2 linked regions of the Danio rerio genome follow. The protein of the gene in region 2 interacts with the protein of the main gene of each other region in a biochemical or structural test. Links are inferred from orthologs where the notes say so. Each region holds a gene or a part of one and is shown on either strand. Other genes may lie near its edges. The genes, in order: nr2f1a and bcl11aa.

What was found.
Region 1: the proteins of bcl11aa (region 2) and nr2f1a form a complex in vitro, tested with the Homo sapiens proteins (2 studies listed by BioGRID). The link is inferred for Danio rerio from reciprocal best matches to the Homo sapiens genes BCL11A and NR2F1.

Annotation. Positions count from the first base shown.
Region 1 is NC_133180.1:53,814,641-53,819,140, reverse strand, and holds the start of nr2f1a (nuclear receptor subfamily 2 group F member 1-A), read right to left. Parts: upstream 3,081-4,500; 5' UTR 2,379-3,080; coding exon 1,946-2,378; intron 650-1,945; coding exon 122-649; intron 1-121. UniProt on the Homo sapiens protein: Coup (chicken ovalbumin upstream promoter) transcription factor binds to the ovalbumin promoter and, in conjunction with another protein (S300-II) stimulates initiation of transcription. Binds to both direct repeats and palindromes of the 5'-AGGTCA-3' motif.
Region 2 is NC_133188.1:29,070,216-29,074,531, reverse strand, and holds the start of bcl11aa (BCL11 transcription factor A a), read right to left. Parts: upstream 3,024-4,316; 5' UTR 2,919-3,023; coding exon 2,864-2,918; intron 2,474-2,863; exon of another isoform or gene 2,056-2,473; intron 1-2,055. UniProt on the Homo sapiens protein: Transcription factor. Associated with the BAF SWI/SNF chromatin remodeling complex. Binds to the 5'-TGACCA-3' sequence motif in regulatory regions of target genes, including a distal promoter of the HBG1 hemoglobin subunit gamma-1 gene.

The sequences.
Region 1 (4,500 bases), on a different chromosome or scaffold from region 2:
TACCAAAATAAAAAGCTAGCTTAAGACCCACTAGTGAGATATAGCTTCGATGCCGAAGCTTATTCGTACCATATTGCAATGCCCCTTATGTCTGCGAGTAGGCCTCGTCTCACACACTCACCTGACGTGAAGAGCACTATTGCCTTAATGCAGCTGTATTCAGCAGAATCGACGTGCAGTGCTTTGAGCTTCTCGACCTGCTCCTGGAAGATACGAATGTGATCCATGAAGGCCACGACGCGATCCGCCGACATGGGCGAGGCGTGCAGGCCGGCAGCGGCGAGCAGTGGGGCCACATGTAGGGGCATGGAACACTGAGCCGCGTTTAGCACAAATAACTCGCTCCATGTCAGTCTGAGCAATGACACCTGGTCGGTGATCTGCAGATCGGGAAAGAAAGGGATGTTCCTTGCCCATTCCACTGCACTGAAGAGCAGACGAGCTGCAAGCTCACAGATGTTCTCGATCCCCATAATATTATTGGGCTGCATGCACTGGCTGCCATAGCGAGACGTAGGATAAGGCTCGGCCCGAAGTAGTAACGAGATGTATCCGGAGAGATAGCAATGACCGTTCAGAGGATCCCCATTCGTTAGCGCATACTGGCCCGGGTTCGGTTGGGTTGGAGGCATTCTTCCTCGCTGAACCGCTGACAAAAAGAAAGAAAGGGAGAGGAAATGTACATCCAGAACTGAGAAACATCATTGATGTGGAAGCTTTACTTCGAGTGCATGAGCAGTCTAGACTGCTGTTTATCATATACGAAATTGCAACAAAATTGCACAATATTTAATATTTATTTGTGAGGCATTGCGTTTCGAAGAAAAATCTTTTCACATGGTCCTTGTATCCCTACTAACCTCATTTATTATTGGATGGTAAATGTTTACCTTTGTATATGGACAGAATATGGAGACATACAAACGCTAGCTATCTCTCTCTCACTCGCTGTGTTTGTGTCTATTTATGTCTCCACAAACACGCGCACGCACATGAAAATTCGTTTGAAATGTTATTTTGTAGTTTTATAGGCATGTAGCAAACATTACAGTGGACAAAACGGGTTTAAATCTCGACTTCAGTAGAATTAGTTCACTGCCACTGACATCTGTCTGATTATAAATGCTATACTGTAATAATATTATATGTAATACTTGTAATATACGTATGTGTAGGTTTACGTGTAGTAACACGTTTCCAGGCAATTTAATAATGAGTACTAACTCTGGAACAGTGAAAATGTCCACAAACGAGTACGAAGAGTTTGTTTTCATTATTAAATTCAAGTAAAAAATAAATGAATAAAAATAAACAGGACAAAGGGCACGTGTTAAGTTTTTAAAAGAATCTAAATATTATCAATAGCAGTTTCGCACTACTCGTTATTAAGACTAGAGTGTAAGTTGTAAAGGCCATTGTTCACATACAGCTTAGGCTGAGAGGGGACAGACAGGCCTCTCTGAACGTTTACTCTAGGCTACGGCGTGAAAACAGACTTGTACATCTTACTTCGAGAGATAAACATAGGCTATAGCTTCTTATTTCAATAGGGTACACTATATGTGCATGTGAACGTAGTTAGCTTTTTCGTCTTTCAGCACACACGTAAAAGCACGTAGGCTTAGCTACACACTTAATCTTTATCTTTCTTTTTGACACACACAGTGTTTACTGGGTGACTTTATAATATATATTGTTATTTGCGAGTTGAAATTGGTGCATACGATATTTGCCAATCTATGTAAAAAAAACTATAATAGATCCATGCTGATCTTGCATATATACGCGTGTATTTACAAACGCGCCCTCTGACACTCTTTAGCAATAATTCAATACGATAGTATTTTGCGTTTGCATATTAATATTGCGAGGTCTGCATAACCTTGCTTTAAACAATAAACCTGTTTGTGTAGCAAGTGTGATGTATTCAGAAAAATATATTCACCTTCCCGCCGCATGCCCACTTTTAAACACTTCTTCAGCCGACAATATTGGCACTGATTACGATGGTGTTGGTCAATAGGACAGTTCCTGTTGGCACGACATGTATATGTTAAGTTCCTTCGGACACTCCTCTTGAAGAAACTTTTGCATCCTTCGCAGGTGAATTGACCATAGTGCTTGCCGCTTGATTTGTCCCCGCAAACAACACATTCTATATGCTGTTGACTCTGTCCAGAATTCTGGCTGCCCTTGTCGCCAGCCGTCCCTGGTGTGGACGGAGGTCCTGGCTGACTGGGGGTCTGCGGAGTGTGTGGTGCCGCTGACGCCGCCTGCTGTTGCTCCCTCGCCGGCTGAGCTGCTGGATTGGGGCCGCTCGGAGGTCCTCCAGCCACGTCTTCCTGCGGATCTCGCCAGACGCTAACTACCATTGCCATATCTCGGGCCCGAAAAGTGCTTTCAAGCGAACTGGTCGCTCGGATATCGGAGCAGGGAAAAGGGAAGTCTTGGACGAACGGCAGCGCGAATTCAAATCGGAGCACTCAATCTCATAGGGAAAAAAGTAGAAGCAGAAAATGGTCAATACATTCAAAATACCGGAGTCGATAGAAAGGCACCCGATCAGGATATGCAGTTGTCGGGAGGCCAGTTCCAAGGTAAATTGCAGTCAGCCATTCGGGAACCCAATCGTGAATGAAGAAAGCGATCCCAGACGTAATATAAAAAAAAACAGTTTTCTTAAAAAATACCGCAGTAAAAAACAAAATCTTCACGTTGAAGCAAAAATAATAGCTTTCTGGTGGACCGCAGATCCAAAGTGCTGTGCAAAATAAATTCCCCTCTTTTTTCTTCCTTGCTCCTCTCTCCGTCTTCGCGGTTGGAGAGGAGGAAACACTGAAGAACGGATTTCTCTATCTATGTTCATGAATAAAGCTCATCTGGTCCAGCGAAAAAAAGCAACGTCGCCCGACTGGCTATGTAGTTTCACCTCTCCAGTAGGAAAAGAAAAGAAAAAAAGCAACTAATGGAATATGTAAGAAGCAGAGACCCAAAAAGAATGCGTTTTAACGGGAGTACCAGCGGAGCAATGTTTCCGAAACGGAGATCTGCGCGAATGTCTGTATATAGTGAACTTTGACACTACTATTGAAACTGACACGTTTCTATGGAGATCGCTGCGCCTTATATGGTGCTCGTGTCAAGGAGCCAAGAGAGGGGCTGCTGGCAACTGATAATCAAAGGCGACTGACTGGTCAGAACCCTGCATCGAGGGGGGAGAGAGAAAATGGGAGGCTAAGGTTAGCCAAGCCTCCTTCACTCCATTGGTTAGAGTCCTCGCTCCTCGCTACCTACGACTGAGGGCTCTGACAAGCACAATTTACATTGCTCTCGCCCCTGCGCTGCTATTTACTTTGAAACCCGATTAGAATGGACCGTCTATTGTCACAAAAAAAGAGGAAGAAACCCCAGAAAGAAGCGGCGAAAAGCGGGATGAAAGCAATGAGCGAACTACGCGCACGTGAAAAATAAACAAATGCGTGTGAGGCAAAAGGACTGGTGCGAACCTCACAAAGTTGAAAGTGTTTTGTTCAAAGCCCTAGTCTTAATTACACAAAAACACCGTAACGGCGTCCAGATTTGAACTATGAAGGTCCCATTAATGTTTAACGCAATTTGACAGACCGATATAGCCCACCGACTCGAAATTGCGTATCGATGTATAAAATTCGCTTTTACGTGTCAATATTACACTTAATCCTCAGCACAACGATTAAATTAAAAAGCACCGGGAAGCGCGATGACTACCACTAGTTTGACTAGAGGGATATATCAGTATAGGCTATAACGGAATGTTTTCTCAGTGATAGGAAACATATCAAGCAGTAAACCAGGGCACAAAAGAGGAATCAAAGTATAATGATATTGAAAAATAGAAAAATACATCGATGGATCCATCCATGTTTTAACATATTTATTAACGAGGGAAGTTTTGGTATAATGCGCAGGGAAACCGGCTTTTTGAGCATGAATGCTGAAGGCTGCGCTGTACAGACTTATAATGTCTGGATCGGGCTGCCATCTAGCGTACAGTAGACAATTACAGCGACATGAAAAATTAGTAATTTATTGTCATTTAAAGCATGTTTCCAAATGTAACTCGTAGACAAATTGCGCGGTGGGATGAATGTTTCTGATTTTTTTTAGTGAAGTAGGCTATTAAAAACATCAGATTTAAAAGTATTTTGATTATGTTTTGCAGGAACTTGTTTAGCATCAAGTTTATTTTTATTTTTTATCAATGTCTCCACTTGAGATGCTTATTTTATTTTTGTTTTCGGAGAAAAGCTTTTTGGCCTCTTATTAGCGGACAAAACAGCAATGTTTAAAATTCAAGTATTTAATAAATATTTTAGTAGCCTTTATCACCTATCACCTATTTTTACCATAAGTTTTTTTTTTTTTTTTTTTGTACAAACAATGCATCAAAGTCCAAAACTGTGTAAGTGAAGTTAAGAGGAAACAAAACCCCGATACCCGACCGTTCAAGAAACCCTCTAG
Region 2 (4,316 bases):
CACACACACACACATCTGGATTATGACTGCATGTACAACACGTGTAGATATCCAGCAAAACCAAAACAGTCACAGCAGCATCAATACATGCTTCACACTTGGAGTAAAAGTACTGATACCTTTTTCCATTCTCAATAAAGTTAGCTATACAGTCCACACACAGACACACACACACACACACAGGTATTTATAACGGCTGTTTAGCGAAATCTTTCGCGCGGAGGTTACACTAGCTTGCTAATGGTTAAGAATCTTGACCTTCTTTATAAGCTGCCAATTTCATGCTTTAATGAACCTAAAACCACTGAGAATCAAAAAATAGATTTTAATTTTAGTGGGTGATGATTGGTACAGATTTTGATAATAATAAAAAAGGTGTTGGGATCACGAGCAGGGCGGTTAAATTTACCTCAGCCCAGTCTGGGGCAGATACTGAGGGGCAGATGTGAAGTATCTCCCAGACGTGGTTATGAGTAAAATATTCGACACGTTTGCACATGAAATAACAAAGACGAAACGTGATCAATTACCCTTAAATATGAGCGAATGTTTTCCGTTTTTACATTGTATTATTGTGCGTAATTGCTTGCATTTCTAATAGGAGCAATTTAAAGTGAAGTTAAACGTTTTTGTATCTGGTTCCAAGATACACAGATTGATATTGATTCGTATTAAATTCGTAATGATACCAGATGTAGAACGTCCAGTAATGTGTGATTTTGTGATAAAAACAGAGATAATCGACATATTTGCAAAAACTTGAGTCATAATTTAATAACACCCAGCGAGTACATATAGTTGCTTAATAGATATTTCAGCTTCAATAAAATGTAACATTAATACAATAGCTTAATACAACATTTAAAGTTATGCGTTATTCTACAATCGGTAATGGCATTTAAAGATTTCCGTGCATATGCATATTTTTAAATATTATTATATATACTTCACAGACTACGATTGACCTTGCATAAATAAACTAGGATTCCATGAATGTGTTTTGAAGGAATATTCAACCATTTTAAAACAAATTAAGCCAACTCAAAATTTGTGGAAAGTGTGGAAAACTGTATTAAACTGAGTTTTCACAATAGTTTTAAATTACATTACCTGCATATGCATTTCAAATTAAATCAGTTCTTAAACTAAAAAATATTTAAAGACTTAAAAACAATTAATTTGTCTAAAATTCAAAAGCATCTTATTACAAAAAAAAGATTTAGTATTAGCTTCTCTGTGTATGAAATTCAAAGGGGTTTTGAATAAATTCATTAAAAAAGTTTGTAGGCTCGCTTGTTGTTTCTTTGCTTTAAAAATAACCGTCTTCTGTGTAATTATAAATTGGATGGCAAAGTTTATCAAGATCGATACTGGCTCTGTTTGCATTACCTGAAAGTCATGTTAGTTTTCTAGATCCATTACAAAATATACAAGACATTTTTTTAAAAATCCTATAATTCATGCCAGTTCAGGACGGGGTAAAAAAAAAACTGTTACAAGTTCATATACAATACGTTTCGCTCTTGCAAACATATGGTCAAATATAGATAGTGCTGAAACTGATCGGGTTCGAGTCTAGTTTATGATCGTCGTGTGCCCCCTAGCGGTGGATTTCGGACACGTGCAGCAGCGAAAGCGCAGAGTAACCCGCGCTGAGATCCACAGCCTGTGTGTGGAAACCCAATAATGTTACACGATACTTTACAATGTTACAACAACTCAGGATTTGTGTCAAACACGTTTATCTATTAAAACGCGGACTAATGCTTTTGAAGATTTACGTTTCAGACATCAAAACTAAAACATCAAAAAGATAGAAGCTAAATGGTTGTGTCGTCGAGCTCCTGACAACATTTCAGGTTCATATAATCTGAAGCATACTTTATTTAGAAAAATGCAACTTATCACAGTCCTTCAAAGCACGTTTAGTGTGTCAACTAACATGATCTCTGGAAGAACAGTAGGTTAGTGTGTTACGAATATATGCATAAAAAGCCTGGTTTTCTCGATACATTTGTATCCAAATAGTTGCATTATATTTAGGTTTCGTCTTACCTTTGTCAACGACATTTAAGACGAAAATCAGGCCTAAATAGAAATCGTATTTCTCTCCTTGCAAATGTACTCGAAACGGCAAAGAGCGTAACGTAAAATACTCTTCTACTGCTTTTCAGCGAAAGCCCACAAATACTGCACAACCGCGTTTTGCTTCAAACGTTAGAAAAGCGTTAATGTGTAAAACTCGAAACGATATTAGGCTATATGCAGATGTCTTACTCTGCGCTGTTAGTCTCAGGCAGAAGACTATCGTGCTCTATTTGCTGGCAGTGGGTAGTAAGCGCACGCGGCGCTTGTAAACAGTCGGACACGAGATTTTTCCCAATCAAAATTCGCTTCCACTCTTTGAAAATCTTCCAAAAATAGTGCGAGAGGGGGGAAATCCTGCCCAGAATCACAGACAGACAGCGTTGCGGGACACTCCACGAGATGTGAGAGTAAATAAGCAAGCGAAAGCACGCGTGCATATACCCACCACGGTCCGGTATATGTGAGCGTTTGCTCTTAAGTGGTCAAAGCGACTGGGGCACGAGAGCCAAGACATATGCGCCTAAACACAGAGTCGACACGAACTTCTCCAAGTACAGCGATGGAAGACAAACTTTTTGGCGATTCGGTGCGCGTAAAGGCATTCAAGAGATGGGAACGCTCTCTTCGCTAAAGTCCACTTGATCGGCGCTGCGCTGTCCAATGTCCAGTGTGTCTTCCCTGAGAATTACGCTCCTCTCCAGCAACTCAACGCTACACAACGCAGCCAAAAAACAGGTAAAGGCAACGGGCACAACATATATTTGTCTTTACTTACGCGAAAAATCCCGTTTGCTTAAGTGCTGGGGTTTGCCTTGCTTGCGGCGAGACATGGTGGTTGGTGGTGGCTTTCAGCTCGGTTCACATCGGGAGAGCCGGGTTAGAAAGGAGACTCCAGAGAAAATATCTTCATCAATGCCTTTGACATCCAAAATAAATTAGAAATAATACAAAGATGGCGCAGGGAAGATGGATTGTGGGATAGCCGTCATGGCTTTTTTGAAAAGAGAGAGAGAGAGATGAAAAAATGGCAAAAGCCCCCCTGAGCTGCAAGTTCAAGTGCGGACGTGACGTCCCTGCGAACTTGAACGTCAGGAGATGGATGGACACAGACATACAGAACATGGGCAGGGCAAAGCCGTGGAGTAGGAGGAGGGAGTGGAAATAACAAAACCAATGGACACTCATTAGGGGCTGGACATGAAAAATAGACCCGAAGAAGCCAATGGACAGAAAGATCAGGGGGCCGGACAAGAGGCGAGAAAGAGGGAGCGAGAGACAAGCACACACACAAGGAGAGAGAGAGGGGGAGATATGTTTAATGAAAGCAATGTGCGCTGCGGAGTGTGTGTGTGTGTGTGTGTGCGTCCGCGCGCGCTCGCGCTCTGGGGGTGGACGCAGGAAAACAGAGCACGAAAAGCCAATGGACAGGAGATTCAAGGGGGCCGGACGTGCTATATATACAAAGACAGTGAGAGAGGAGCCTCGCATTTAAGGTTTCGTAGTGGACACTGATGGTGTTTCAAACACACTGACTCAACTCCTGGTCAAACAGTCAAAGGTAGCGCGCAAGGTAGCTGCTTTTCAGCGAGACACGATCGGGTTGCATGAACAGGACAGACAGGTTCCGAGCCGGGGCATGTGCAGGGTTCAACCGCCGCGTGCGCTGCCACATTCCTCCAGCTCAGAGAAACTTAAGGCACATCACATAAAGCGGGATGGGATACTTGCTCGTGCGCTCTGCGCGCGATGTAGGTGGGACTTAAATACTACAAGAGTGTAATTGTAAAAATATAACAACACACTGACGAATAGATTGTGGGAGCAGCCCACTAGAAAGAAAGGGGACGGGGTAATAACTTTCAGATGTGTTCAGATTATAGAGAATGGCGACTGGGGGGAGGAGGGGGTGTCAGTAAACCGCCGCGTGGATTTAGAAATATAAAGATGCTGTAAACAGCGCTGATGCATTCGAAATTAAAGAGACATGAAGCGTATAACCGAACGCGATGACAAGCTAGTTCAATGCATGAGGTGGGAGGAAGAGAGAGACACCCCTGCGAACTAGTAGAAGTACAACTAGACTATAGCGACTACTCCAGAGAAAGCAGAGGCTGCGTGAACAAGTGACAGTCTGCGGGGAAAAGGCACAATTCAATAGGGAACCGATCGGAGTTGAAGCCGAATGCTGGAGATAATACGTGACCCGCGAGCGAGTGAGTGAAACTGCT